Linked DNA regions of Kluyveromyces lactis. The protein of the gene in region 2 purifies or fractionates together with the protein of the main gene of each other region. This does not show direct contact. Links are inferred from orthologs where the notes say so. Each region holds a gene or a part of one and is shown on either strand. Other genes may lie near its edges.

What was found.
Region 1: the proteins of MOT2 (region 2) and CAF130 purify together in Saccharomyces cerevisiae (affinity purification with mass spectrometry; 4 studies listed by BioGRID, with this or other methods). This does not show direct contact. The link is inferred for Kluyveromyces lactis from reciprocal best matches to the Saccharomyces cerevisiae genes MOT2 and CAF130.

The regions. Positions count from the first base shown.
Region 1 is NC_006041.1:351,713-368,506, reverse strand, and holds CAF130 (CCR4-NOT core subunit CAF130), read left to right. Parts: upstream 1-6,113; coding exon 6,114-9,512; downstream 9,513-16,794. Other genes in the region: KLLA0_E04049g (pepsin-like aspartic protease), read right to left, coding at 203-1,972; PEX4 (E2 ubiquitin-protein ligase peroxin 4), read left to right, coding at 2,912-3,388; KLLA0_E04005g (RidA family protein), read left to right, coding at 3,619-4,032; SUE1 (Sue1p), read right to left, coding at 4,532-5,107; URN1 (Urn1p), read right to left, coding at 9,505-10,812; PRE9 (proteasome core particle subunit alpha 3), read left to right, coding at 11,218-11,967; MAY24 (May24p), read left to right, coding at 12,273-12,277, 12,356-12,773; KLLA0_E03873g (SH3 domain-containing protein), read left to right, coding at 13,145-13,807; NCA2 (Nca2p), read right to left, coding at 14,084-15,886. UniProt on the Saccharomyces cerevisiae protein: Acts as a component of the CCR4-NOT core complex, which in the nucleus seems to be a general transcription factor, and in the cytoplasm the major mRNA deadenylase involved in mRNA turnover.
Region 2 is NC_006039.1:700,436-716,446, reverse strand, and holds MOT2 (CCR4-NOT core ubiquitin-protein ligase subunit MOT2), read left to right. Parts: upstream 1-9,206; coding exon 9,207-10,931; downstream 10,932-16,011. Other genes in the region: KLLA0_C08151g (uncharacterized protein), read right to left, coding at 1-1,537; ICL1 (isocitrate lyase 1), read right to left, coding at 4,202-5,830; KLLA0_C08063g (uncharacterized protein), read left to right, coding at 7,990-8,481; U1 snRNP complex subunit SNP1, read left to right, coding at 11,343-12,248; ARG56 (bifunctional acetylglutamate kinase/N-acetyl-gamma-glutamyl-phosphate reductase), read left to right, coding at 12,856-15,426; ARC15 (Arc15p), read left to right, coding at 15,773-16,011. UniProt on the Saccharomyces cerevisiae protein: E3 ubiquitin-protein ligase component of the CCR4-NOT core complex, which in the nucleus seems to be a general transcription factor, and in the cytoplasm the major mRNA deadenylase involved in mRNA turnover.

The DNA.
Region 1 (16,794 bases), on a different chromosome or scaffold from region 2:
GTTTCTATTGGCAATAGAATCTTTGATCTGACAAAGAACCGAAAATGTGCTAAATTAAGACAATGAAATAGACGAAGAGAGTAAGACCAAATGTGAGATGATGTGAAACGAAGTTCCTCTGATAGAAGTCTGCATCGTGTGTGTTTGTGTGTATTTTTCTTTTTTTTTCTTTTGCTTTTATTAAGTAACAGTCTTCCTCAGCTCAGAACAAGGATGGGATGGAAACTGCACTTAGAAGTAGACAAATTAGCGCAGCCAAGTGTGGTACTGGCAAGCTGGAGGCAGCGCCTTCTTTTTTTGAAGAGGAACCGGTTGAGGTTGAACCCGAATTACCGGAGGTTGAACTGCCGGAGCCTGAAGATCCTGTACCAGTCGAAACAGTACCATTAGCATTGTTGGTAACTGTGAAGATATTACCTCCAGTAGATAAACTTGCGGCAGTAGACCAAGTGCTGGAGTAACCTGGAGCTGCAACAGCACTTGGCACTGAATCCCTGATGACCTCGATTTTTTCGTCGCCGCTAGTGTAAGAAGCTTGTGCTAGCGAGATTTCGAGCTCTTCCAAATCGTAAACAACGTAAGCACTGGTTAGGAAGGCATCACCTAAAGTAATTTCGTTATCAGATTGAGGGAGTATTCCCAAGACACATTGGGAAGAACTGCTCGTTGTAACAATGTAATCACTTAAGGGGGATATGATATGGAAGCCACCAAAGTCGAAGACAAGATCATAATCACTGCCAGAATCACAATCCACAAAATAGTATCCTGAACTGGAAGAGTACGTAGCACTAACAGAACTTGCAATGGCAGCAGCTAAACTACTTGGGAAGTAACAGAATGTGGCACCAGTGTCTAGCAATGCAGGGTACTTAGTCTGTGTCACAGTCTCGTTACCATAACTGCTCGTCACACCGATACCTTGTAGAGTGATCGATAATCTAATCTGTTCAGTGTAGCCTATGCTTCTGAGAGCGTTGACCATTGGAACGGTGTACAACGTACCTGTATATTTGCTGTGATCGACGGCACCGAATAAGATAGAACCAGAATCCGCATCTAAGTCATTCAAGAAAACAGAATATGCATTCTTTTCGATGACGCCGTTTCTTTGCAACACGATAGGGAAGTTATCGTATTGATAGCGGTTGTAGGTGCTTAACTGACCGGAATAAGTGGATTCAGAACCTGTCAATCCAATACCTAAGACACCGAATTGGGAATCTGTGTAGTTCGAGACAGCAAAGCTGAGCCCCGTGACGTTGACATCGTCCAAGTGAATTTCATCTACACCCCAATCACCATCAGCAAAGGTACCATCCGCGTAAGAGATATAGAATCTAGTGTCATTTGATTGCCAAGAAGACGACTTTGACGTGTCGAAAGTACCAAACTCAGAACAATCCAAAGTGGCCAGGCTTGATGGGACAGATCTTATAGAAGTAGCAGCCACTGTACCCGATGTGAGTGCAGTAGGAACTGTTTGCGTACCAGCACTACCAGTGGCACTAGCGATACCAGTGTAAGTGTAATCGGTGGCTACATCAGTACCGAAAACACTCAGTAAAGACGACAACAGGGCAGTATAATCCTGTCTTTTTTTCTTCGAAGAAGACCTAGAAGCGGAGCAGAACGGATTGCCCGATCCAGGCACCCACAAATCAGAAGAACCAGTATCGATTAAAACACCAACCTTTTGTGCAGGAGTACCAATCTCTAAATCAACAGAGTAAAACGTGTTCTGGTTATCGATTTCAACGTCGACGTAACCATCTGCACGCTTCTTCAAATGGCCAACGCGTCTCTTCGATAATGACGCCTCAGACGCGTCATTCCCTCTCAACTTGTCAAAAGACATGAAGACATGCTTCTTATTCGCCTCACCGACCTGGGAAACGTCACGTTTCGTAATATACCCAGCAGAACCAAGGGACGCCAACAGCGCCCCCAAACAAACATCACTTAACTTCATTGCTGGTGTTTGCTATATATGCGCCTTGGATAATAAAAGGGGGAATTAGTAACCAGTACCAAGAAATGAACTTTAATTATTAAAGAAAAAAAGACGTCAGCCAAAGTATAACGTCTTCTGTAAAATGAAAAGACCCTTTATATATATACGCTAAGACAATAGCCGCTGTTTTCTTTCCAATTCAATGAGTCAGTTACCTCAAACTTTTAGGAGAGAAGGTACGTGATGTGAAATGCAAGATGGGTAGAAACATTTTCCAGTGTACGTTTAATCGTGGGAAAAAAACCTTTATAATAAGGCAAGTTTCATAGAACTTCCTTTTTTTTTTTTTTTTTTTTCAACGTTTCAAAGTTCCCACATCGCCAACTTTCGACACGGGAAACAAGCACAAGCCTTCATAGAGCGGGGCATTTCGTCAACGATTAAATATAGAAATGAAACGAGGCAAGAAAAAAAAAGAACTGAGGACACACCGTGAATGCAGATGGGAGCGTAACGGGCCAAGCCCCATCGATGACGAGTATGTTTTTTACTCTGTAGAATGTAGAGCAATGTGTAGTTGTGTAGTTGTGTTGGCTACGTTCTCCTCAGGGTCTGTCCTGTGAAGTATATCTGGGTAACTAGGTTACGGACGTGGTTTATTTTGAGTTGTCATTTGAAGCGTTTTGGCAATTTGGTGACCACTAAGTTATCTGGCTCTCCAGTAATACCCGTAATACGCAGTAACTGGGTGAAGAAATTTTGACAACTTTGTTGCCTGAGCACTCCATCGCCGAAAGGGTGATTTGCTGCAATTTTTTTCCTATATCTTATTGAAGAACTGAAAATTATTCAATTTGGTTCAATTCTGTGACGTGATTGATTGATTGACGGTCTTTGCACGCACGCAAGCACGCATGCATGCAAACACACACACACATGGGAAATTAAAGATCGAAGATGAGTAGGATTGTTAAGGAGTATATGGGGTTGCAGAAACGGTTGCAGACCCCTGAATTCTCATGGATCAGTTTTCTTGCACCGGTAGATGATGATGACTTATCCGAATGGGTATGTCGATTCCAAGGCCCGTCAGAATCGCCGTTTGAAGGGTTTGAGTTGGGTTTGAACATTACCATAGATCTGGAAAAGTATCCGATCAGTGGCGGTCCTCGGGTTCTGTTTGAGCCACGTACCGTGGCTCACCCTAACGTGAAGTGGGACACGGGCGAGATTTGCCTAGATCTTTTGAAAGATGCATGGACCCCGATATATACCTTGCTAGATGTTGTTGGAGCTATAAGAGATTTGTTGGCAGACCCTGGTTTGGACTCGCCACTAGATCTAGACATTGCCCAGATATACGATGCTGACTATGAAGCCTACGTGCAGATTGTTAGGTATAGACTTGAGGAGGCGCGGTTGGCACGCGTTTGAGTACGACTTTTACGTAGAAATACACAGCAACATGGCTGGATTTTTCATTTTTCCTTGCAGTGAAATTGAATAGGAATGATTGAAAAAGGATTAAATGATGGAAATGATGCAACTTATATTCCTTTGTACATGTTTTATACACAAATGTATGTTACTTTGACTTAGTACTTTCTTTTTGCCTAGCTTCCCTATTGTTCGCGGGGTGGAGACACTTGATTATCGAAAGAGAAATGGCTAGAAAGATTACATGGAAAGACGTTGGGGTTAAGGACGGGTTCCCATTAATTTCACCTGGGTTCGCTACAGAATCGGGGAATCAGTTACTATTCAGTAGTGGTTGTGTTGGTACAGATCCTGTTACCAATGAACTACCTGAGGATTTGGAACAACAGGCTAGAAATTCCATGATCAATTTGAAGAAAGTGCTTGAAGTATCTGGATCTTCTGTTGATTCGGTCTTGAAAATCTTGCTGTTCGTTTCCGATGGTAGTTACGCTGGTATCGTTAACAAAGTTTTCAAAGAATTCTTCCCTAATCAACCTGCTAGATCGTGCATTGTCGTTGCATTCCCCAACAATAAATTGAAAGTCGAATTAGAATGTATCGCTGAGATTCCATCCAAGAAAAGATGGTTCAAGTTGTGAAGGCGGGGTTTAGATTTTCCGGGCTTTGCGTTCCAAAAACTGTGGTGGAAAAGCCTATTATATATATGCCTCTATAGCATGTTAATTATACTATATGTTAACGAATATATGTTTAAAGAACAGACTTTGCTGGGAAATTTACGAATGTTCTTAATCCAATCTATGCCATAATAACTGAAAAGCAAATTCAATTACCATGGCACAGGGTGAAAGTACAAGGTGAACGGCGTGTAGTGTCCGAATCAAGTAAGATGTCGAATAAGGTTGCTGCGATGTGAAGAGCATTGAATTGTAATAATTAGGAAGAAAAAAATAGAAGGGCACCGGATGAGACTTGAGCCTGCAGCTTGTTTATGTGTATATTTGTGGTATCCGATTGATAAGAATTAATGAGTTTTCCAAAGTTAAGACCAGCTTTCCTCTAAAACGGTGAATTGAATGATAGGTTTAATGTATGCAGCGATGGGGTAGGATCAGTCCATTCCCAAAATAAAGTGCATTATTTCAGCTTCCACTGCTGTAGATACTCTTGAACCACTTCTTCGTATTGATCTACCGACTTCTCGTCGGAAAGTTCATCTGTCTGTTTTGGTGGGAACTTCAAGGTCATCTTCTTATCCTGTGGTTGATCCAACTGATAAGGTTTCAAACTTGCAGATACTTTATTAGGTACATCGTTCCATTCAGGGTAGAACTCCATCCCCATTGCACTACTGGACCAAAGAGCGCTTTGTAACAACTTGTTTGGTATCCGTGGATTATAACGCCACGTCCCGTTCACGCCCCCAGATAAGATCCCTCCGGTCCCGTTGGGACCGGCCATGAATGGATGTTCTGGTTCGGATGCGAAAGCTGCCTTAGACTTTAGTTTACCTCCCCCATTCTTCTCCCTTTCCACTTCTAGTTCCTTCACTTTCGCTTGGAATAGCGGGTTATCCCTCAGCGGAGACACAATAGGCCTGTATCCGCTGAACAAAATGTCAGCCGTGAGTTCTTGTGGCGCAAGAAACCTTGTCGTTGGCACGCGAGGAAGCTGTCTATACATTTGTGTGGCTTTGGACTTTGGAAATGGCATTTTCCTATGGTTGTATTATACTTTTTCGATGCTTTGATGCTTTCAACTAGATAGTAAAACCTGTTTAGATTCTTATTTGTCCGACAGTACGTTATCAGACCTTGCTTTTAAATAGTCTGACAAGAAAACACGATATTTCCGATAAACGATTTAATCCCCTGTTTCCTCTGAAAATATTAATCCACCGAGCTTTAGGAAAATCACGTAATTTCACATACTTAAATACTTAAAGCAACTAAGTAATCAATTTCGAGACGATAATCCAAGCGTTAAACCCTTGAACTATATATACTCATTTTATATATGTCAGATCAAAGGATGATGAAACCGCATATGTCATACGTTGCTCACCGAGTCAATCCGACTCGTTTTCACACTATGTCACTATGTGTCTAAATAAGACTTCACACACCCCTGGTTTTTCTTGTGTAAGACTCAAACATTCTGGGGGAAATAGCGGGCAAACCTTCGGGTACCACGCGTGTTTCTAGCTCAGTTTATGGGTGAGAATTGAGATTAGCCAAATTCTGAAAAACTAAGTAAAGAAATGCAAAAACCGGCTAACGGTATATGCAGTGTTAGCTGGTGCTCTCGGCGATATCGGATCAAGGATTGGTATCTCGGGGCGGGTGTGTGGGTGTATTACAAATGTTTAAAGGAATGTGATATTCACGTGAATATCACGTTACTGAACTTTTTTGGAGGAACCCATCTTTTTTTTTTTTTTGAAAAACACATTTACAGATATCAAATGTTATAATACTATTATAGTTTATGTTCTAACATGAGATGAGGTGGGATGAGAGATCGAATGAAATGAAGCTGGGTGTACTTTTAGAGGATTGAGCTGGACTTAACTGAGTCAGTGAAGAGGAACGAACGGAAGAGCTGCTACTGCTTACCCTGGTATCGGTCGTTTGTTTTGTTTTAAGACTCACTCTTCTGGACTATAGAGAAAACCCTTTTCTCTAGCGCCGTGTAATTTGCATACGCATTCCAATTTACCATGCTACAGGAAAAGAGTTCTGTTCAGCGATTATTTTTGGCCGATTCGGATGTTGATGAGAGCGTACTGTTAGAAAAACTCGTCATTGCTCTTTTTACCACGGTTCCTGGACAAGCGGTTGTCACACAATTGATTAATGATGCCAAACGAACAAATGACGTTGATGGGGTTGAGTGTCTGATACGAATGAACGATCCCTACTGGGTGGCACTTTTCGGTACTTGGGCAACTGATAAGCATATTTTGTCATTATTTCTAGGGTGGGTTTTAAGGAATGAAACGGATCATATCGATTTAGAGAGGTATTCAGATCAGTCGTTTAAAATGGCTATGAGATTTCTTCTCACGAATCAGGACCCCAAATTCACTGCACCACTATGGGATACATCCAACATTTTACTAGATTATTTGCATAATGCTAAGCCTTTGATAGAAAGTGTTCTTAAGAAACTTGACGGCTCGCAGTTTTTGCAATGTCTAATGAAATACAACCGATTGTATGAATTTAATGGTTCTTACCAATGGTTTACCCCTCCGCAGTCCACATCACATGCAGAATCTCCAACTACAATTTTAGAACGTAATTCTACTTTTTTATCTACTCTAGGGAATTTTGGTAATGATATGGTTCGTGCTCTCTCTCAGTTGAAAACTGGCGATATACGGCTGAATTCACTAGAATCATACGGAAAGAATTCTGGGCATAATAATCCACCGTTGTCAAAACAAGATGATCACAATCCGTTAAACTTGAATGGCAAATCTGATCGATTTAATTTGTTTTTTAAGCTTGGGTTACACAAAGAGCCTCATCCACTCCTTGCAGAGCAATTTAACTCACTTTGCTTATTTGCGGATCCCATGACTCAACCTCCTCCAAACGATTCTCATATAATTTCATTGGATTTATTGCATGACCTGTATCTAGGTTCTTTGACTGCTTATATTGTTAAACTGATACCCAATTACCAGAAAGTCTGGAAAATTCATTTGAGCGCAAATTTGGAAACTATTACATTGGCTATTTTGCAGATGTTGCAGATTTGGGATTATAGATCTCTAGACAATTTGAAAGATATCCAAGCAAGAAGCCCTGATGCATACCCTAAATACATGACATCGTGGATCCCATACGATCTTTCTCCGCCCGAAATGGAAATTCTTTATATGATTGCAGGATTATCTTTCTATTCGATGCACAAGATGCACTCTGATAAGCCGCCGAGGTTGAACCCATTCTTACCTATGATGCTTCGAGCATGGAGAGGTTTAAGTTCAGCATTAGTGTTAGGTTTGCAAATAGATAGGTTTGAGGAAATGCAGATGCTATATGGTACTCCAGTAATTGTTAGTGCAGTCATTCGTGGAGCTTCTGCGTTGCGCTCAATTATCGCAACGATTCTCAACGGTCATGTGGATGAGAAGTTGCACGATTTTAAACATCAACCTTTTGGTGGGTTCATGTCTCCTCATGGAAGGAAATTATGCAACGGGGCTCTTTACACATATGAAATGTATTATTTCGCAGCACTCCTACCATCAGGTATGGATTATGACGAAATTGTTGAATTATTGACTGATATACAAAAAGGAGATAGAATTGATGAAGATGTCAGATATATGTTTGATTATGAGTACTTTGATTACAATGATGCAGATACAAGTAAGCTAACAGATGGTAAGCTTATGTTTACATCTACTAAAAATGAACTCGAACAGAAAAATAGATTCAGAATGCTTAGGGGACTCTACAAGCGCTGCCTTTGCAAGTTTAGTGATGAAGACGACAATGATGACGATGATGACGATGACGATGATGATGACTATAATGGTGAAAAAAGCGTTGTTGGATTGGATGAGAATGGGCAGATCAATGAAGCTGAAACCCCTCAAACGTTTAGCGAAAGTAGCAATGCTGTTGCTTTCACATCTTTAATGACGCACAGAGACTCTCAAAATGATTTCGTTTCTCATCTTACAACAGGTTATGATAAAAACGGTGATGATTGGAGGGATATACCTCGTGGATTAAATCTATATTATATGGATGATTACCAATTTTTGTCTAAGTTGGACAAAGTTTCTCTCTTTGAGTTGTTGAGACGATTACCAGATAGAAACGTAACGTTTTCTCAAGCCTGTACGGTATTGAGAAGTATTGCAACATGTGTGAAGCTAGAACAAGAACAAATTCTACTGAAATTAATTACGGCCACTTCTGCAGAGGTAGATTTGAAAGTGCTTCCTTTTTCTACTGATGAAGTTATTACGGCAATTTTTAATGATGATGGAGGAATTATAAAGCCTTTTCCATTTTCAGGCTGCAATGATAGCTTAGGGTGGAAAATCTTCGATGAGTTGATGATGAGCCATGGGCACAGAAGGCTCTTAATCTATCACTTGACACATAGGTCGTACACTTTCTCGTCCATCCATTACGTGTATGAGTTGTTATTCGGTCTAAGAGGCAATCCTGCCAGGAGTTATGATTTAGAATCGACTAAGAACAAACAATTGGGGATTCTTAGCTGGACACCCACTGGAGAATTCGAAAGGGTTGCTGCAATTGAATTCTCTAGACAAGGAGTTATTGAACTTTCTGCAATTGAGAAAAAAATGTTGCTACAAGAATTTTTCGTGGGTGTGTCTTCAGGACTGCTAGGTGAGTATAATGATGCGGGTTTTGAAGCTTTTTCAATTAAAAATCCTTCAAAAGTGTATGTAGATGATTATGGTGAGGAGTTCTTCTCTGCAACATCGCGTAAGGCTGAGATGTCTGGGAAAGTAAAGATGGTGTGTTTCATTTTAGAAGAAGTATTAAACGATAAGGAATTCGAGTTTGTTCCACATGAAGATTACGTTTACGAATTAAAAAGGTTTTTGATGCAATGGTCGACGTTTTCTGCTGAAGCATGTTCCATGTATGCTCTTTTGAAATCGAAGGCTTTAGGGAAAGTTCTTGATCTAGGGACCGAGGGGTTAGATGATCGGCCAAATACTGACCCTGATGATCAGCTTTTGCCAGTAGATTTTGATAAATTAAAACTAAGTGACATAGATGACAGATGGGATACGGAGACTGATACAAGCATTGAGAATGGTGATAAGACGTCCATTATGTCTGAAAGGTTCTCCAGAATGCTACCAGTTCAATCTCTTGATGGACAGCCTGTTGACAAAGTTTTCCGTCACCTTCTTCAGAAATATCCTTTGACTGAAGGAACTCCTATTCACGGAAGGATAACTTTGGAGTACCACGATCATATTCTGCCACTGGACATCAGAACGCATCAATCATTGCATAGAGAATTTTTGGCGGTCTTTGATATTGATTACTTAGACATATTAGAAGCTCGGCAGCAAGAAGCAGAGGAAGAGTGTGATGAAATGTCTATTTAGAATACTGATCTCGTAGTATTTCTTTCAGAGCGGCTAGTTTGTCTTTGATACCCAGAATATAGTACATAATTTCATTTTGCATGTAGGAATTTTGAAGATTATCAAGAATAAGTAGCGCGTTCTCCAATTGAAGTAGTTGAGTTTCTAACTTAAAAGAGTCCGACGGTGTCTCTTCTAGCATCAACTGCGATAACTTTTCCGATATCGGAGGAAACCGAAGTTTATTTTTCATCATCTTTTTGAATAATTCAGTGCGCTGTAGGTTATCCATTCTTTTGTAATAGGCGATTACCTTGGAAGCAAACTGTTCTTGTTCTTTCTTGGTAAGAGTTTTATTGATTTCCAGTTCTTTGAAAAGAGATTTATTTTCTTTCTTGATATTAGAGAATAGGGTTTCAGGAGTGATATTCGCTTTTGAAATAATGTGTGCCAAGTAGTGATACTTTGTTGGTTCTAGAGTAACGTCTGAATCTTCTTCATCTGAGTTTTCAGCTGAATCTTGTGCATTATTTTCATTATCATTATTTGAATTATTGAGCTGTTGAGAGCACCACGTTTGAAATAGTTCATCCCGTTTGTCATTAGAAGTAATCAAATAATAGCGTGGATCATGCATTATCCGCTTTGCTTGGATCGACCAAGTTGAGTAAGGATCTAGTTGAATTTCATTAAGTAATTGAATGAACTTAGATTCTATTTCCGTGTTATTCAACGACGGTAGCGTATCCTCTTCTTTAACATCTATAGAAGATGGATCATTCTTTTCTTCTACCTCTGATTCTTCACCAGAATCATCTGATGAGGAAGAGTAACCAGAAACTAAAATATTACTCGATTCGGATTTATCTTCCGTGTCCACGTTAGAATTTGTTACTTGTGGTCTCTCCTCAGTGATATCGTTTTGTTCTTTGTCGTTACTGTCGAGTTTTGCTTGTAAAACATCTCTGATCTCTCCATAAACGTCACGGTCATTTCGAAGATTGAACCCTCGTGCTACACCTATAAGCAATGCAAGAAGAGATGTATCAACTTTATCCAACAAAGCTTTACTCTCATCATCCGCCAGTTTGAATTGGGACACATTAGATTCATCGTTGTGAAAGAATTTGGAACCATCTTTACAAATCACTAGGTTCCAGTAGTTTCGTAGAGGTAAACAGAACACTGGCACTCTCAATTCCTTCATACCAGCTTGCTGGCTTCCGAACTCTTTTGGTTTTTCCTTTGTGGATACCTTGGACCTCGTATTGAAGTAGTAGAAATTCCCCGAAGGATCTTTAAATCGCTTCCATTCGCTCATACTTGATTCAGATAGGAACAATGGGCTCTCCGCCAATTTAGTTAAAACTTTAAAACTTTACTTTCACAGACAGGTGCAGCAATGCAAATAACATCTCTGAGACAGGTCTTCCACCTCGTACACTGGGTTGTTCTCACTAAGAAAATCCATTGAAGAGCCGTTAAACAAAGGTTCGTTCTTTTATTTTTTTTTTAATGTCGACCTTTAAAATGAAATAAAATACAATCAAAGTTAGAAGAAATCCAGTGGCAAACCTTTGAAACTAGAGATTGAACAGCAATTGGATTCAACCAGATAGTTAAACTTGTAGCTAAAGTTCATCGAAAGTAGCAGCAAGAGCATTTCTGTGAGCGTACAGGTAATTGGTCTGTGAGAATATAAAGAACAACTAAGAAGTCAGAACAGATGGGGTCCAGAAGATACGATTCGAGAACAACCATTTTCTCGCCAGAGGGAAGATTATACCAGGTTGAATACGCTTTAGAATCCATTTCACATGCTGGTACTGCGATTGGTATCATGACTGAACAAGGTATTGTATTAGCAGCTGAAAGAAAAGTGACATCGAAACTATTAGAACAAGATACTTCAAGTGAGAAATTGTACAAGTTGAACGATAATATTACGGTTGCAGTAGCTGGGTTAACTGCAGATGCTGAGATTCTAATAAATACAGCCAGAGTACAGGCTCAGAGCTATTTGAAGACGTATAATGAGGAAATACCTGTTGAAATGTTAGTAAGAAGGTTATCCGATTTGAAGCAAGGGTATACTCAGCATGGTGGTTTGAGACCATTTGGTGTTTCGTTCATTTATGCTGGTTATGATGACAGATACGGGTACCAGTTGTATACCTCGAACCCATCTGGTAACTATTCCGGTTGGAAAGCCATCTCTGTTGGTGCCAACACACAAGCTGCTCAAACTTTACTACAAATGGATTATAAAGACGATATCACTCTGGATGGGGCCATCGAACTAGCCCTAAAGACTCTATCTAAGACTACAGATTCAAGTGTGTTGACCCACGAAAGATTAGAATTCGCTACCATCAGCAAGGATGCCGAGGGGAAGATATACCAGAAGATCTATAAACCAACAGAGATCGCTACACTATTGGAAAAAACCGAAATAGTAAAGAAGGATGATGATTAACGATAACGACAAGTCATCCAACACATGTGTTCAACTACTGGACATTAACTGCCTTTATCCTCACTGCCATATATAAGTACGTATGTGTTTTAGAATGTAATCATCATTCAATCAGTCTACTGTCGAAAACGTCTTTACCTTTACAATTAATTAAAGAATTGAAGCTTTTTGTTGTTAAAATACTATTCGCGCATGCAATGTTGAGAAAAAGGATAAAACAAATTAAAGAAAACTCGTAGCTAGTAACTGTTTGGGCTTAATCTCATTACTCATTTAGTATAACCACGGTCTAATAAGCAAATGCTATGAAGTATGTCTGATGGTAGCGTTATATCCGCCGTTTAAACCGCAGAAACTTTAATTTTACTAACACTTATAACATCAAAAGAACATTCTTCATTACAGGAGATGTGCCTGTTGGGTATCAGGTGCCCGATTTCCCATCCTTATATTGGCCCATGAACAATGGTAAGTTCAGCGTCGCATATCTCTACTACCTCCCCGATATATGGAGGTTTACGATCTTCTGGACCATGATTCTATTTGCAATAGTATACGGAACTACAGGTGCAATCGCATGGACTACACACAAGAAAATCTTATTCGGCTTTTGGATGATCCCATTGTATATAATGATAGGCATGGCGCAGGCGTTTGTCTCGGGAACTGTGGTGGGTATATTGATCGCGATCATATATAAGGCAGGGTTATTTGCAATGTCTACATGGATTCCCTTATGCTGTGCTGTGGTCCAAATTTTATTTAACGTGAGCACAAGTTACTCGATGACAAGTCCGATCATATGAGTGATGTATATATATTAGTCGCATTCGGTTATATAGTTAATTTTAACCGTGACCCATTCCCTTCCTGACCTACACAGTTCATCTTAGCTCATCTCGGCCCTTTCTTTGGAATAGGTTTTTCCGTGCGGTCGGTATAAAAATGAACAAGGCTTATAAAAAGAACCAATCCAGAAACATGGAACAGGTAACTTAAGTAAACGAAACCTGTTAATATTGCTCTCGAGAAAACAGAGGATATAAGAGAATTGGAAGAAACCAGTTAGGATATCTTTTACGTCATACTTAGGGGACAAGGTAGATATCATCTAGATCCAGACTATATCCCATATCGTTTAATTTTATCAAATATTAAGGAATTGGAAGTATAAAAGATGCCATCAGTGGAAGAAAGTGTAGCTACAATTAAGTCAGAGTTGAAGTATTTGAAGGAGCAAGGTGCATTAGCAGAGTTAGCATATAAGGATATTGAATCGTTGTTACCAAGAGTAAGACCACAACCACCAGTAGCAGATACGATGGGTCAAAATAACGAGATTGTGGAAGCACTATATGCATTTCAACCACAACAGGATGGTGATTTAGCTTTGAAACCGGGAGATAAGATCGAGATCTTGGAAAAGTTAAGTCCTGAGTGGTACAAGGGCAAATGCAATGGTCAAGTCGGTGTGTTCCCAAGCAATTATGTGAAGTCAGTTGACACGAAAGATGTCGAAAAGAGAAGCTCTTCTGCAACTCCGGTTGCAAATCTGCCTCAATATGCGGCATATACTCCACCTGGACAGCAGATGCAAGTTCAGCCGCCAGTACAACAACAATCACCATTCCCACCACAGTTTACCGGTTATTACCAGCAACCAGTGCAACAACAGCCAATGCAACAATACCCTCAACAGCAGCCTCAAGAACAACCTCAAGAACAAAGCAGTCATCAAGGCTCCGCAGCATTTAAGAAGTTCGGAAGTAAATTGGGAAATGCTGCCATTTTTGGTGCCGGTGCCACCATTGGTTCTGATTTGGTGAACAGCATCTTTTAGAGATAGTTAATGCCATGTTTCTTACTAAGAAATTTTGATAAATTTACCTTACTAAGGCAGAAAATAGAGCTTTTTTAGCTCAGGCTTTCTATTTTGTCTTATTTTGCCAAGAAGCAAACACAAATCATTGTTTTATTCCGCCAATTACACTCGTTTATTCTTCTTCTTCGTTGCAAGCCTTTTTTTATTTCTCATAGATTTACCTGGCGGTTCATTTATGCTCATATGCTCGCATATGTAGAAATTAGCATTTGATGTTTGCAGTACCTACTTTTTCTACATAAATTTGCCATACATATGATGAATTCTGTTAATAACGTTTATCTTAGCTTCATTTGTTGAACCGTAATCGCCGAGGTCGTTACAATCACGGACCCAGATTGGTTTATAATTCTTGGGTAAATATTTGACCATAACCATTTTCAACGTGGCTACCTCCAAGTTGAGTAATGCAAGACTCTTCATCTGTTCATCGTGAGGGATTACTTCTTCCGATAGTGGCACATTCAATAATCTTTCAATTTCATTCAAAGACCTATTGATGGTGAACTTGGTGCCCTCCAAATCCTTAGCCCATTCAACACCTGAGCTTATTGAATGGCTCAAGAAATTCCGTAAAGCCCAAATAATCAAAAGCGCTGGAAGTAAGGACACAATAGAAAAGAGTAATTGTTGAGATTTTAAAAGCTTGTTGATACCATTCATAGCCATCGAACCGTCAACCTTCACCTTTTGCAATTGAATCAACAACGAACGAACCATATTGTCAAAAACAATGCTTTTCACAGGGTTCTCGATCTGATGTTCATAAATCTTCATAAAATCTTGTAAGTCACCGTCCATAATCTGTTTCGTTAAGGAATCAACATCTACATTAGTTCCCGGTGGAGAACGATCTCGGAGAAATTCGACAATCATTCGGATTAATGAGTTCAATTCCGATGTCAAGTTGTCCTTTGTTGTGACATATAATTCTCCTGAATCGAATCTAACGGTGTCCCAGATCTGAGTAATCGGTGTCCAGATCCAATTTTCCCAAAGACCTGACACAAACTCATATGAACCTTGAGACACAGTTGTCCATAGAGATTGTCCGTTTTGAACGAGTTTCTTCAAAAGCATAGGTCCGTAAATGGACAACACAGACAATTGAAACCATTGTCTCTGATACCAAGGGGGGATACGGACGTCTTCTGGTATGGTGAATTGTAGATGGGACACGGCATTCAAACGAGACATGATTTTATCCAAGGACACATCTTTCAAAGTCGATTCTGTGTCAGCTTTTTTACCGCCATCATTCTCATCATATGTCTTGTTTTCAAAACGGGACAATTCTTCACCTGTTGATACCAATAGGGAATCAATTTCCGAGGTTAGCTTTTTCGATACATCATCCAATTGGAAGTTTACGAGCCTTGTTGGTGTTGCTAAGATATCAGCGGCATTCACTAAGTCGTTTACTTTCAAAGTCTTGGCCGTAAACATAGTCCTTAGAGTCGATACTTGGAATCCATGCTTCCAAAATTGGAACGGTATCACAGTGTATTTCCACACTGATCCTCTGAGTTTAGAATAATAGTCCCTTGCCTGTACTAGAGCATGGTAATGATCCATCGATAGTTGCATGTCATAATAGAACTGCAAAATGTCCATATACTGCAAGATTATATCAAATAAATATTTGTCCGCGTTTGTAGCCTGAGACTCGTTTACACCATGTTCGAAACCAATGTCTGTAGAGACATTAGGCACTGTCACAATATCATCGTTAAGAGTCTCATGTCCTGCTACATCAATGTCCTTCATAGCAGTTGCGTCTCGTGTATCTTGTCCGTGAGATATCAATTGCGACCACTTTGTCTGTAATGTATCCCAATGCATGTCATGTCTCACATTCTTTTCGATGGCGGCAATCACTTGATCAGCTTCCTGTTTTAGTTCTATGACAAACTCGTTTAGCGGCAATGATAATGCCGATTGGGAAATTTCTTTGTCCCTACTCCAAAAAGCAAATTGCTCTTCGAGAGAGTTAGTGACTTGTTTTAGCCGCTGAGAAATCAACGAATCATTCAACATATTACTAACCCCGTTCTTATAGAAAAGATGGCCACAATTGAATCAGTAATTGGTCGCTCGCTTGTTGTTTCCAGTTATTTCCCCACCCTTCTCCCTTTTCTTGAGTAAAAGTATAAGAAGATATTCTGAAATTATAATCTATTGAACAACTATTGAATATTTCCTTTTCACTAATCCATTGTTCCTACGCGCGTTTATAAAACGAGACTGGGGCTTCAAAAAAAAAAAAAAAAAAAAAGAAGGATGCTGATGATGACATAAGAGCCGGAATACTTCAAGATAAGGAACAGTGTTAATATGAAATGGAAGGCACAATTTGACTTGCACCTTACTGGGTAATATTTGTCTTTGGCACTTATGTTTGCCGTCTATAAAAAAAATCTCTCTATTATTGAGTTTGAATTTATTCATTGAATTATCGATTTATACCAACTGAATAATCAATATAGTTTATAGTTTTTATTAGTATATTAGTGATTAAGATGATAATAATTATTTATTTATTTATTAACGCCAGTTAGGAAGATTAGATATTTGTGAAGATTCCGGGTTGGCAGAATGGAAGATGGGAGGAATAAAACGTTGTTTGTTAGGTTTCACACTATCTTATCCTGGGAATTAAAATTTCAGCTGTAGAAAAACCAGAACGGAGTTCATCTTTGTATATCCACGCATCATAACTACCGTTGTGTCTGAAAGGGACCACCATTGGTGATATTATTAGAATGTGAAAGGGAGGTAAAATGTTGTCAAAGGAAAACACGGGATAATCGCACTACTGAAATCATACTAGTAACAACCTGTGTCTTCCGAAAATGACATTAATATATTGAAATAGAATGGGGTCGTGGTCGTCATTTGCTCATGCGTATCGGAATTAAGAGATCTTTATTTTGCACGCTTGATAA
Region 2 (16,011 bases):
TCTTTTCCTTATTGATCTGGAAAAGAATTGAACTATTCTCTAAAATTTCGTGGATCGTTGGAGCTCCGTTGCTCAAAAGATGAAACACAAACCTTTGTTCTTTGTCACCAAATTTGATAACAACCTTTTTATTCATATCTTTGTTTGCAAACTCAGGTTTTAGTGGTAAAGAAGCAATAACAGCATTCTTAAAGGAGCTAGTTCCACTTGATTTCCCGTCTTTGCAAACTAATGGATATTTCTTCAAGATGGAGTCATGGAAAATCTCCGCCAATGGATACACACATGGATCAAAGCCAAAATCCTTAACAACACCTCCTAGAATGAAATTCAATAATTTAACTCTCCACTCTAGAGGCAATTGATTCAAATTCCGTTTTGTACCACTGCCAATTAGTTTGATACACATCTCGGATAAGGAGTCACACGATGATAATTTGTCGTGCAGGTAGTCTACTGAATTCACAGACAAGTTGCTGAAAAATTTTTCTAGCACAAAGGAGATGGATGATAATATTACATGTTGTCCTAGTTTCAGTAAGTTGTTGTTTTCTTGTGTATTCAAATTCGAAGAAAGATCTATCAACGTCTTCGAATTTTGAATGAAATGCATCAATTTTTCTTTCAAAAAGAATGGAATTGTATCCTGTTGCTGCTGCTGCGGTTGTTGTTGCGGATGTTGTTGATCAGTTTGATCATTTCCCGCGTTATTGCTCTTATTCTTTGTCAAAGCTAAATTCAAAAGAGAGAAATCATGGGTAGATAGAGCCAAGTCAGCAAGGTTTGCTTGACTTTTTTGTTCATTTTCTTGTTGAACATTTATTGGATTCGTAGTCAAGTCTTTGATAACATCCCTCATGAATTCGTCATAGCTTTGCTTGAAAGTGTTTGAGTTATTCAGCTGTTGATGTAGGGAAGTAGATGACTTGTACACCATGCGAATAGGTTTTGGCTGAATTATTGGAGCCGGACTGTTTATGTTATTGGTAGAAGAAGTGGATGAATGTATGGGTAGTGAACTGCCACTCAGAAGTGGCATTTGAGGTGTATGGTTTTGAGAGGGTTGTAATGTGGCATGTGGAGCGACTTGGGATGCCGGCACAGAAGATGGATTTGAAGCAGCGTGAGTTGTCGATGATGATGCCAAACTTGAAGCCCCTGAATGATGCGAATGTACTGGAGAAGTTGTTCTTGAAATAAGCCAGTCCTCATCCGAAGTGGCACTACTCATCTCAGATCGTTTCGATCTGGTTTTTGTAGACCGTTTCCTATTACGTCTTACGGACTGCACAGCCGCCGTAACCAACTTTTCAAACTCCGACGAAGTAATGGTAGGATACCCGAATTCAGTCCTCAGTATATGGGCAATTTGTCTAATATTTTCATCTTGCTCACTGGCCTTCCTCTCACTCAAATTGAACTTATCAATTAATTCAAGCCTTCTGGAAGAAAACTGTTTCCATTTTTTGTCATCGCTGAAATTTAGCTGCTCCCTTATGCGATGTGTGGTACCACTAGGTTTGTGAACCTTATTCATTTTTGCACCCACGGCTTTAAAGTCAACCTATATGTTGTATTCTGATATCTTGAGTCTTAAACTAAATCCTGAATAGTTTTTCCGTATAGTGAAATACGGAAGAGAAAACCTGGAGATTATACCAATTTAGATTTGGACAGAGTGTTAAGCAAAACTGCAACTGCTTTAGTCGAGAGTGTACCGTCAAAAAAAATTACCTTGTACGTCTTCTTCCTTCAATGCGGATGACGTGATATGAGACACTCTTTCGGATGTTCTTTTACTCTTCTCTCCCTTATGCTGTTTACAAATCCAACGAAATGATTAAAAATTTACGAGTTGAGTCGTATGCTCTTTGGATTTTGATTTTTTTGACGATTTTTTTTCAAGGTTTGTATAGGGAAAGAAAAAGATCTCTCGAAGAAAAGACAAGAGAAAACAAACCTTGTGAAGAAAAAAAAAGTAATAGTGGTACTGGTAGAAGTGGTAATAGGAACTGTTCCTTCCAACGCGTGCCTATACTTCCTGTTATCGTTCTCAAGATGAGATCTATATGTTTTCACAAATCGATCGAATGGATAGTAACGCTATCTTTCTTGATTGAATGCGTTTGACCGTTGAAGATCTATACTGAGTACAATAATAGAATATGATTAGTTAACGTTTTTGTTTTCTGTAGACTAATCAAGCCTATTACTTTTCTCAGTTTCTAGCGCTGTTGAAGAAAATGTTGTACTGAAATAGGAACACTACTCAATAACGTGAGCTTTTAGGATATGCAGAAAGAATCTTGCAAAGACTCTATGATCGAAAACTAGAGATCTATATATATGTATATTGTGTAATCATGACTTAGACAAATGCAAGGTAGCAAGAACAGATATATATATATTTCTGAGATCAAGTTTCGGAACTTCTGGACTCAAGAGTCTCGGTCAATGGACGATACCTGTCCTGCTACTTGGGTTTTTTAATAAAAAGCACTCCAAACAAACTCGCTATGACCTTCAAGGCTACTTAGCTTCTTTCTTTTCGTTTTTACTATGACTACAATAAGTCGGTATGGACTAAGTTAGATCTGTACTCAACCGTCTGACTTCGAAATGATTAGGAAAAAAAAGAAATTTAGTTCAATGCCTTAACGATAGGGTTACTGCTTTTTAATAAGTCATCACAAACCTTATAATAATATTGTATTGACAGTAAACGGCGGAGCTAGGTTTCTTTCCACCTAGATGGCTCAAAGAAAAAGATAACCCCATGTAAATAAGTTACCGAAAACTCCTGATAGGCAGAAGGAAGCTGTTGTTCGTACCATCTTCCAACTCTTCGCCTTCTCTTCGGCAAATGAGTTCGATATAAAGAAAAAGGACACCCAATTGAACTTAGACGGTAGAATGCATACGTTTTACTTAATCATGAAATAACCAGAAGGTTTGACGCCTCATGGCTCTTGTTATTTTCCTGAGTGGGGAGTACTATACATCATCACCATTTTCTTTTTGTTTTCCGACTTATGCACTTTGAGTCGCACAAAGAAGAAGAATTCCAATTGAAGCTCTTAATTCCTAGGGTAGTCCCGTCCTTAATTCTATTTTCAGAAGAGCTATCAAGTGAGAAATAAACAACGCAGTAATAAAAGTAGTATAGATGGTGCTGCCAATACTAGCAGCTAAAAGAGCTTATATTTTCTGTTTTGACTATCAAGACTACTTTCGTAGGAATTTTTTTTCTCAAATTTTCTGTCTCGAGAACATTGGAAAAAAAAAAAAGGCAGTCACCTATAATGATGATTAGAACTACGTGGTAACTGGGCTTTCTTGATGTGGGGGTGATTTAAATAAAGTGGGACTGCTCAAGGCGGTTGAAATCTGCCTCGTATTTGTGCTTGCAGGTGTTTTCGGTTAGCGGAAATTGTTAGTAGATAGTCATTCTATGTCACATGCTCGATCAGAAGAGACACTCCTAACCTAAGTACAGAGCTTCAGTTTGTGCATTCCGATTATTGAACACACGTAGCCATCTCTCTATTCAATTCTTTTATTATCAGTACCATCGTGGCGAAATCATAGGTAACCGAAACTTCGGTTTTTGAAGTAAAGTTTTCTTTTCTGGACGTTTCGGAAAAACTACCTACGGTTGAGTCTCAAAACTTTGTTTGGGCGGCACTTTTCTCTCCTCTCATGTTCCTTAAGGCATTTCCGTGAATTATGTCAGGAATTATCCGGAAAAACATACTTAATGGGGCAGGGTTGACGGAAGAATTCCTCAAGGGCGAATTAACTGCAATTACAGAAAACAGGTACGTGGATCTCTAAGAAGAGCTCAAAAAAAGAAGTTGTGGCACTTTTATACTTGATCTATTTCCAACTGTACCTTTTATTCCAACGCCAATAACACCAGTCATGGCTGGCAAGGTTTTCTTTTTTTCGAGGTTTACTGTTCAGAAGGTAAAAATGAGTCGCCTCATTCCTGTGCTTACGTGGAATCTGCAGATATTTTTGACCCAAGTTCATAAACAAATCAATGATAATAATAAATGATAGTACTTATAAAAGAATATGCTACTTATAAAATAATATATGGTTTGCAAAGGATGTTTGTTACATGTATGTACGGCTGTGGTATAGGACATTTTGCTTGTCTGTTTGTTTGTGTTTTTTGGCTGTTCAAGTTGGGAAGTGCTTATTTGAACTGATCCTCAGTGACACCTTGACCCATAGCAGCAGTGGCAGCGAGACCACCTTGTGCTAATCTTAATAGACCATCGATATATTCAGCACCAGACCATTTCTGGTGCTTTACCATGTCGATACCGTTATCCAATTCCTTCTTTTGGATATCTTGAGCATATGCCTTCATTCCTAACTTGGCGAAATTCTTGGAGAATTGTTCGATGGCTAAACCACTTGTATGTAGACCAGCTAAAGTGATAAATTGCCAGATGTAACCCAAGTCACCCAATCTTTGAATGAATGTCTCTTGTTCGTCGACAGACATAGCTTTTGTCCAGTTGAAAGATGGTGACAAGTTGTAAGCCATCCACTTGCCTGGGAACTTAGCTGTGACACCTTCAGCGAATTCCTTAGCTTGTTCGTAATCAGGGTAGTTAGATTCCATCCAACATAGATCAGCGTATGGAGCAAAGGCACGAGCTCTCATCACAGAACACTGAGTACCACCTTGGTAACGGTACAAACCTTCACGGCCTCTTGGCAAGTCCCAGTCGAAGAACAATTCGGTACCCAACAATTCCTTGGCCAAGGCTTGCATTTCATAGATTGATGTTTCACTTAATGGGTTGACTTTGCTGTTGAATTGGTCAATTACGGATTGGTCCTTACCTGCAGCCTTGGCAGCGTCAGCGAATACTTCGTGGAACAGCTTAACGTCGGCCTTGGCCAACCATTCTTTTTCGATGGTTTGTAAGTCATCGATGGTGGCACCGTCCAAGATAGCTTTGTTCAGTAAATCGTTCAATGGTTTACCCTTGACGGCTGGATTGGAAGCACCCAAGATGAAGTAATGGTCCCTTGAATCGGCAGTAGAGGATAATAGAGTAGCGGCTTCAGAATCAGTTCTGGCAACAAGGATCAAATCTGAACCCAAAACATCTGCAGCCATTCTACAAGTGATCAATCTGTTAATATGTTCTTGTACTGGGATAACACATCTACCAGCCATGTGACCACACTTTTTGTTTGTAGAAGTTTGATCTTCAATGTGGATACCGGCAGCTCCTCTTTCGATGAACATTTTTGTCAACTTGAAGACAGCAGTCAAACCACCATGACCAGCGTCACCATCAGCAACGATTGGAGTCAAATAGTCAATGATTTCAGATTCTTCAATGGTACCATCACAGATACGTTCCCATTGTTTTCTGTCATGGAATTGTTGAGCCTTGAACAAATGCTCCACTTTGTTTGGTACAGTGTCCATTGGGTAATCAGCCAAATCTGGACCCGGTTCGTTAGAAGTTGATGCAGTGGAAGAACATTGCCAGCCTGAAACGTAAATGGTATCCAAGTACTTAGACATTTGGGTCACTTGAACAGGGTCCAAAGCACCGAAAGTCTTGGAGACAGTGCCGTTCTTAGCGTGTTCCCCCAAGATTTTGAACAATTTTTGAGACATCACAGTAGATGGGAAAGTATTTGGTTTTACTGAACCACGTCTCTTTGCAATTTCGTAAGCAGAGTAGATACGTTTGGTGTCCTTCCAACGAGGTTCGGACCACCATTTCTCAATTTCGTCAATTTGACTTTGTAAGAATTCCTTCTTTTCAGCAGCAGAAGCCTTAACGGAGACCATTATGTTGGGTTTGTATGTTTTGTCGTTAAAACTTTCCTATGATAATATCAATTAAATTCGTATATGTTTTGCAAAGTAGTTGTGACTATTACAATACAATACAATATCGTTTGATGATTTCTTCAGATCAATAGAAAGAATTACAAACAAATACAAGGTAGAATATAAATACTTCTGAAACATACCATCAGTTATTCAAGACTCTCAAACCTCATCCTATATTTATACAAAAATTCTAAAACCTTAAGGTATAATTGAACTAACCTAATTCAATTTCAAAATATCATGGTTAAATGGATGTCACAGAATATATCACACACGTAATGGAAGTACCTAATACTAAGGTCCTTTTTTGCTTAACTCAACCAATCATGGCTCTAATTCCCACCAAAATTTTCACACTGACGACAAATTATTCCCTTTAATCAAGGGAAAGGTATGAGTCGATTTCTCTAACTGTCTGTCCGTCTGTGTGATATGCACCATTTTTCTGGTTTCGTCTGATCATTTCTGATTACAAACGGTACCATGTATGTGCAAATGAATCGTGTTTTGTTCGTCCATTGATCCCTGAATTGCGATACTCGGTTGTGGTATTTGTCACTTAGAGTTCCAATTACGTTGAAACAGTTGACCAGTTTCAAGCCGTCCAGATCCCAGTATGCCTAACCTGCTATTTGGCTGAGGAACCAAATAGAGTCAACTGAGTCAACTTTCCCCATTCATGCGAAAATGTCCGTGAATTCTTTAGAAATGGATGTAGGGAGGGGAAGAAAAACTGGAAAAACTATCACATTCGGTTTAATGGCGGATGATTCAATTCTCCCATCGTAAAAGAGGGACAACAAACAGGGTCAAAAGGATCAGGAAAAAAAATGTTTCAACCGTGTGAGCGTTCTGTGTCTTGTGTCATTCGTCCTTAGTCCGAAAGTGAAACCTTACTTTAAGTAATGGGGCAGATAATCACATAGCTATGTCGCTGTTAATCATACCCGATTATCTAGATGCAGATTAGGTGAGCTTACGGTATCAGCTCCATGGAAGGAGCCGATATATATAAATAAATATTACCCGGCTAAACGCTTATTGTCTAGTTAAAAAAAGTTATTTCCAAAAAATAACGACACCAGCAGGATTTGAACCAGCGCGGGCAGAGCCCAACAGATTTCAAGTCTGTCGCCTTAACCACTCGGCCATAGTGCCAAAATTTTGCAAATATTTCGATACTTGATTCTTATATTCTTAAAAACCTTTCATATGAGGATAAATCAGACATATCTCTTACTCTACCGAGTCGAATATGGTTTCCCGAAAACCTCTTCCATACAAGCAGTCTGACAAAACTTGCCTAATAGGCTGGAGCTCCAGATATTCAAAGAGGAACTCTCATGTTTCCATATTGCCTTAGAATAGCATGCCACTTTGAATGTTTTTTTAACACCACTCACAAATAGAGCACTACAAAAGAAGAAGTCAGGATGCCGATGTCAGCAAAAAAAGCAATTATAATTATGCGGAACGCTCCCTCAATTTTTAAGTGGTGGAAAAACTTGTTAGATAATCCGTGCGCGCAAACCATGATACGCCGCACATTTGCCTATTTGATGCAGCTTTAACCCCAGTCTTGTGATTTTCTATTCTTTACTTCGAATAACGCTACTTATTCAATGAGCAATCACTACATCACAGTATATTCATCATTTGTTGCATTCTCTTTGGCGAAGCTTGGTACCGTACACCCCAGAGTTTATTTGTGGGTACTAAATGGGTTGGTATAGAGACAAAGAGGAAGAAAAGTGGGTAGCAAAAAATTCGGTGGTGTGTTATGTGCAACCTAGCCTCATGGTGGTGTGCTATCTCTAGCTGGTTGTGTTTATTTGTACCTCTGCGGAATTAGGGTTGGATCTATGTGGAATTAGGGTTAGGGGTGTTGGAGTAAAAACACATAAGACAACAAAGGTAAAAGTGGCATATAAATAGAGGGTAAAATCCTAACTCCAAGTTTGCTAATCCTCTTTGCCGTATACCCTAAGTTTATGTGTTTTTCCTTTTTCTTGAGTGCTACCATCGGTACACAAGCATCAATTTGCAATAGTTAATACATATATTAACTTTTAACACACAGACACACTCTACATCAGAGAAGAATATTCACAGAAATGACCAAGAAGGATAAAGGACCAAAGTTTGCTAATGTCACCACCAAGTCCGGAGAAGTCGTCAAGGTGTTTGAAGATTTGAACGATTTCGAAACATTCATTAAGAACGAAACTGAAGATGAGGAATTTGATCACGTTCATTGTCATTTGAAGTACTATCCTCCATTTGTACTACACGAATCGCATGAGGATCCTGAAAAGATTAAGGATTCAGCCAATTCACATTCAAAGAAGTTTGTGAGGCATTTGCATCAGCATATCGAAAAACATTTGCTAAAGGACATCAAAGAGAGAATCAAGCTGCCTGATTTGAAGTTTAAAGACAAGGCAAAGGAAGAATCGTTTGAACACATTGTATGGAAGTATAATGATGTAACCCAGTATCACGGTAAAGATTTCGAAATCCATATTACCGTGGAGTGCCACAACGATTCGGCTATTGTAGATGTCGATTATTTGACAAAACCACTAACAGCTGCCGTCGAAGCTTAGAGACCATTGTTTTATTTTGAGTCACATGACCTCAAATTTCTCACTAAAGCATCGCGCCTTTTGAGAGATACAACGAAACAGGACCCCCAAAACGCCGTAAAAGTAACGTAGGCCTGATTTGAGCATTCCTATATATACGTAATTAGCGTGTTTAATGACTGAATGAATTTTATGATTATCTAAACATGGCTTTCTATTCCTCATACATTATGCCTTGTCAACCAACCCCTTTTATTTTATGATACAAACCCATCAGAACATTTCTTCTCACGTGACCTCATATTACGTCTTCTGAAGATACGTATCCGTTTAAAGGAAGAATTTCCAGGAAATTTTTTTTTTTTATTTCAGTTTCGATCGTTCTTTAGTTAGTTCATGGAAACTTTGTTTAAAAAATTGAAAAACTTCTTTTAAGAGTTTTATAAAAAAAATATATATGTATTTCAAATAGTGTATTTACCAAAGTTTCGAGTTGTAAACGTATGTTAAAAAAAGCATACAGGACCAAAAATAAATTCTAGAAATAATTAAGTGCTTGAGCGGAACTATTTATTGTCAATTTATCTGTCCTAGAATATACGAAGAATCATTATCGGCTGGCGAAAGAATACATCTTGGCAATTTTACACTATAAGGATAACACATTATCTGACAGCTCTGATAACAAGAAAGCACTATTTCGATACGATATACACGATACTAGACACAATACACATACGGATAAGATGAATGCCACGGCTACGGAAAATCCGCATGTTCATCAGAATCAGCATGAGATTCAGAAAGCTTTATCAAATTACGATACGTCCTTCTTATCGGATGACGAAGAGGACTTGTGTCCACTTTGTATAGAACCACTCGATGTTATGGATAAGCATTTCAAGCCTTGTCCTTGTGGATATCAGATTTGTCAGTTTTGTTATAACAATATTCGTCAAAATCCTGAGCTTAATGGTCGATGTCCGGCTTGTCGTCGAAAGTACGACGATGAAAGCGTCGAGTACATCGTTCTTTCTCCAGAAGAGTTGAAAATGGAACGTTCCAAGCAGGCCAGAAAAGAACGTGATCGTAAGCAAAGGGAGCGTGAACGTAGAGAAAATGACACTCATAATAGGAAACAGCTTGCTGGTATGAGGGTCATTCAGAAGAATTTGGTTTACGTTATTGGGTTGAATCCACCTTACCCTTACGAAGAACTTCCATCCATCTTGAGATCGGACAAGTATTTTGGCCAGTATGGAAAAATTAACAAGATCGTCATCAATAAGAAGACTGGACACGAGCACCATTCTGTTTCAAATTCATCGAGTCATATAAATTCAGGTTACGGTATTTACGTTACTTTTTCCAGAAAAGACGATGCAGCAAAATGTATTCAAGCCATAGATGGTATCTATATTGATGGACATCAAGTGAAAGCAGCATATGGTACAACAAAGTACTGCTCCTCGTATTTGAGGGGACAACCATGTCCAAATCCGAACTGTATGTTTTTACATGAACCAGGGGAAGAAGCGGATGCTTTCAACAATGCCAGGAAGGAACATGCCCATCACTCACATGCACCACCTACACTTGCTAAACCGTCTACAAGTGCAAGCTCTACGCCAAAGCTTGCTCATGCTTCATTGAGAACAGATGACTCTACTGTGCCAGCAGCTGCAACTTCAAGCTCGAAGCAAACCGCTCCTGTGCTAACACCAGCTCCAGTTCCATCTGGTTCAAACCCATGGGGTATATCTCAAGCACCCACACCAGTTTCTACTATTTTCAACAAGACTTCTACTTCTACCACTTTCCCTACGTTGTCAAGCTCCTTGGGGGAAACTCTGAACAGTCCAGGTCCAGGCACTCCTACGACCACTGGATCTGCCCCAACAGCAAACTCTTCTTCTAACGTAAGTTCGAAGAAGAAGGGCGAAAAGACATACGAGGATCCTTACGATCCAATGGCAACATGTGTTAAGTTCCTAGATCAAACTTTTAAGTTTTTATCAGATATTCCTGAAAGAAGCTACACATTCAACTCCAACTTATTGGATGACGAAACATATCAAAGTTACCCATCACTTTTTTCATTTGAGAAGATTGGATGTAGTGAGCAATCTGAAGGTGTCTTGGGTGCCAAACTATGTGATTTGCTTACTATAAAACCTGTGGACCACATGTCCTCTCTTCTGCCATTCATTCAAAACAAGGCTACACCTACCATGTTACCACCGGGAATTGCTGTCCAGCAACCACAATTAGTACAACAGCAGAAGCAGCAGCTACAGCAACAGCAATTACAGCAACAGCAACAACAGCTTTCACTGCAAATGCAACTACAAGCCCAACAAGGCATGGCGCAGCAAGGCATGGCGCAGCAAGTTATGAGCCAGCCACAAAGCAATTCTTCCGATCTACTAAATCAATTAATTCACGGTAAGAAACAGACTGCTGCCGTATAATCAGTACTCAGTATGATTCCAATAATATTTCTTTTACGAAGTTAGCATATAAATAAATATATATATTCATGTACATTCATTTATTTTTCAATATAAACCGTTCCAGGTTGTTAGATAAACAACTGTTTCAATTTCATTTTTCCAAATCAGACCTTGTAATCTACTGTCTTTCTGGGTTCTTCTTTCTGTCAAAGGCATTCACATTAAAATACATATTTTGACACACTCTTTTTAAGGTTTTTCCATCAATTATGTGAAAATTGTAACATTTAACATCTAAATAGTAAAGATGCGCCAAAAATATGGAATATAATTACATACACTTTACCTCAGCGCATACACCTTAACCTCGATACTGCGGTAAGCGCATCAATAAAGATAATATTGGCACATATCCATTCCAATTAATAGATGAAACCACAAACGAGGAAATACAACAGGCATAATGGCTTTCACACTTTGACCAAACTTCCGTCTTCAGTATCAAAGTTATTTACACAAGGTCCACCATTACCACCATCGAGAGTGAGAGTAAGGCGAAACCAGAACAAGAAATATGCACTCACTGGTGTATCAGCCGTGTTGCAACATGTTTCAGAGTATAAGAAGGCAACCCATCCCGTATCAGAGAACCAACACTTGAAAGTATATGATGAAGCCATGAACGAATCGCACAAAGAACAGGAGGAGTTGATGAAGAAAATACAAGAGTGGCACCCTGAATCAGATGCAAACATTTCTAGTGACCCCTACCGCACATTATTTGTCGGACGGTTACACTATGCCGTAGACGAAGTTGAACTACAGAAGAGTTTCGTCAAATACGGCGACATTGAATCGTGCAGAATAGTAAGAGACCAAGACGGTAAGAGCCGAGGATACGGTTTTGTGCAGTTTACCAGTTATGAAGACTCCAAACAGTGTTTCAGAGAGCTTGGTGTAAGGAAGGGAATAGAAATCATGGGCCGAACATCCATCGTTGATATAGAAAGAGGCAGAACGGTGAAATTCTTCAAACCTCGACGTCTAGGTGGAGGATTAGGAGGACGAGGTTACCAAAGGAAAGATCTCGTAAATAAATTAACTGGTGCTTCAACAAGACCGATGCATGAACATGCTAGAAGACCCATCAGAAGACACGATACCTTCGAAAGAAGAGGTCCTCCACAAGGGCATTCCCATTCTTATCAACCAACTAGTCCAATATCCTCACCTGCATCAAATTTCCAAAAAACTGCAAGTTCTAGCTACCGATCAAGGAGGGACAGATCTCGCAATGATACTTCCAATGGTTCTACAGACACATTGATGTATTGAGATGAGATAAAAAGACACATCAAATAGCACGTGATCAGAACTGCTGCAGTGATCTATATACATTTTCATATATATTCATATAAGTAGCCATACAGATGAGCCATGGCTAAATGTTATATGTACTTCCTACCATTTCTACCTCTGTTCTCATATCTACGCAGTTCTCCTACATTGTGCCCACTGGCCAAGCATAACTGAACCACTACCTCTGTATGCATGAGTAATTTCTTGATCGATGACTGATTCCAAAATAACGATGGAAAAAATTATTCCAGTCAAACAAAAAAAAAAAAAAAAATGGCAACTCAGCGAATCGCACATATAAAGAAAACCGTTTTCAGTTTCCCATTCGCTAAGTATTTCCATTAGGTATCTAAAGTATGAGTTAACTCGTAAAGTACTGAACAGCATTATTGTCTAATCGAAGTTAAGACCAGCTCTATCCATCTGCAGGACAAATTAAAGGGTTTGCAGGAAAGTGTTGATACCTGCCTTTTCAGTGATAGTGAGCCAAGCCAACTGTTTTATCTTCTTTAAAGGATTTTGATTAGATAAAGAAGAAGAAGAAGAAGAAGAAGAAGAAGAAGAAGAAGAAGAAGAAGAAAACATGTCTGTCCCATCTGCGAGATTGTTGATGTCAACGAAGGGTTTGAATCCATCTCGTTTGAGCAAAGTTGCTTCGATTTTGGCTAGATGTTCTCCTTCAATCCCAAAGAGAGTTGGTTATTCGAAAAGATTTGTTTCTAGTGCTAACGGTGTTGGATCTACTGGGACTAGATCTACGGTTATTCAATTATTGAACAATATTGGATCGAAAAGAGAAGTAGAACAATATTTGAAGTACTTCACTTCGGTTTCGCAACAGCAATTTGCTGTTATTAAAGTCGGTGGTGCTATTATCAGTGATAACTTGCAGGAATTGGCATCGTGCCTTGCATTTTTGTATCACGTTGGGTTGTACCCAATCGTCTTGCATGGTACTGGTCCTCAAGTGAACGGTAGATTGGAAGCCCAAGGTATCGAACCTGATTATATTGATGGTATTAGAATTACCGATGATCATACCATGGCTGTTGTTAGACAGTGTTTCTTGGAACAGAATTTGAAATTAGTTACTGCTTTGGAACAACTTGGTGTTCGTGCTAGACCAATTACTTCTGGTGTTTTCACCGCTGAATATTTGGATAAGGATAAGTATAAATTAGTAGGTGACATCACCTCTGTAGCTAGAGATCCAATTGAAGCTTCAATCAAGGCTGGTGTCTTACCAATTTTGACTTCGTTGGCCGAAACTCCTTCTGGTCAAATGTTGAATGTCAATGCTGATGTCGCTGCTGGTGAACTTGCTAGAGTCTTTGAACCTCTAAAAATTGTTTACTTGAATGAGAAGGGCGGTATCATTAACGGTAGCACCGGTGAGAAGGTTTCAGTGATTAACTTAGATGAAGAATACGATGAATTGATGAAGCAAAGTTGGGTCAAGTTCGGAACTAAGTTGAAAATCAAAGAAATTAAAGATTTGTTGGACTTCTTGCCAAGATCTTCGTCCGTGGCCATCATCAATGTTCAAGATTTGCAAAAAGAATTGTTCACCGATTCTGGTGCAGGTACTTTGATTAGAAGAGGCTACAAGTTAATTCGAAGATCTACTTTACAGGAATTCCCATCCTCTGACGCTTTGAGAGATATCTTACAAAGTGACCCAGACATCCAATCCGGTGCTCAATCAGTTGCTTCTTATTTGAGAGACTTGAACGAATCAGATTTCACTTCTTACGCTGATGAACCACTAGATGTTCTTGCCATTGTCAAGAAAGATTCTGTGGTGGCAAAACTAGATAAATTCCTATGTTCCCAGACCGGCTGGTTGAATAACGTCACCGATAACGTTTTCAAAGCTTTGAAACGTGACTTCCCTGCCCTACAATGGGTGATCAATGAAGATGATGCGAACATCGCTTGGCATTTCAACAAATCTGATGGTTCCTATTTGAAGAACGGTAAGGTTCTATTCTGGTATGGTGTCAAAGATTTGAACACTGTATCCGAATTAATATCCGAGTTCATTAAGACCTCCCCTGAAAGCGGTACCGCTCCATCCTTCTCTGGTTCCTCCAGTGGTGTATTTTCCAGTGGTCAATCATCCAGATCTTACTCCACTAGGGCCAGATCTGCTCCTAAAGTAGAAGGCACTAACAAGAGCCCTGCTAAAGTTGCTTTGATTGGTGCCAGAGGTTACACAGGTCAAAATCTTATTTCATTGATAGACTCACATCCATTTTTGGAATTATCTCACGTCTCCTCTCGTCAAAACGCTGGTAAGAAGTTGGAAGGATATAACAAGTCTGAGATTATTTATTCGAATCTACAAATTGATGACATAAAGAAACTAGAAAGTGAAGGTGCTGTCGATGTGTGGGTCATGGCGTTGCCAAACAAAGTGTGCGAACCATTCGTTGAGGCCATTGAGTCGGTTGCCAACGGTAAATCCAAAATTGTCGATCTATCCGCTGATCATAGATTTGTCCCGGAGACGGAATGGAGCTACGGATTACCAGAGTTAAACAACAGAGAAGCAATTGCCAATGCTAAAAAGATTGCTAACCCCGGTTGTTACGCCACCGGTGCCCAAGTAGCGATTGCTCCTCTATCGGAATACATCACAGGATTACCCACAGTCTTTGGTGTTTCTGGTTATTCTGGTGCTGGTACTACACCATCTCCAAAGAATGATCCAAAATTCTTGAACAACAATCTAATTCCTTACTCCTTAACAAACCATATCCATGAGCGTGAAATTTCAACTCGTTTGGGTTTGGAAGTCGCATTTGTTCCTCATGTTGCCCAATGGTTCCAAGGTATTTCTCATACTATTTCTATTCCTATTAAGAAGAACTCACTATCTTCAGAACAAATTAAGGCCTTGTACACCGAATTCTACGCTAACGAAAAGTTGGTACATGTTGCCGATGATATTCCGTTAGTTAAGGACGTTTCTGGTACTCACGGAGTAGTTGTTGGTGGTTTCAAGGTAAATGATGCAAAAGACCGTGTCGTAGTCTGTGCTACTATTGACAACTTATTGAAGGGTGCTGCCACTCAATGCTTACAGAACATCAACCTGGCCTTGAGTTACGGTGAATACGACGGTATTCCAGACAATAAGATTATTCAATAAACGGAACCACCAAAGAATAACCCGTATATCTATATCAATTTGAACTTAGTTAATATATATGTATAAGAAGATAATGTTATCATCTGCTTATCGTTCTTCCTGTCAGTGATAAACAGTCAATCGGTCCAGTGCTGTAAACCATAGTTACCCTGTTTCCAGATTTATTACCCGGATATCTCCTATAAGTTACTATTGAATGGGATTCATATTGAATGGAAACCTTTAAATGGATTAGGTTAAAATACTCGAAATAACTGCAGGCCGGTCTACTTCTTTTATCAGGAAGCATTAGCGCTGAATTATCCTTATCGTATTCATCCAAGCAGCTGCCTTCTGAACTAGTAATATGGAAGACTGGAGAAGAATTGATATCGATGCTTACGATCCTGAAAGTGGGAGATTAACGGCGGATGATTTGAAACCACCATATTCACATACCGTGAGTTTACAAGAGTTACAGCCAACCATTCAACAGTTACGTTCTTACACATCATCTGGTGATTTTGCAGCTGCTGTTGAGCTATTCACAACTGATCCTCCATACAACGCCGACGAACAAGCGAAATCACAATATTTCTCTGGTAT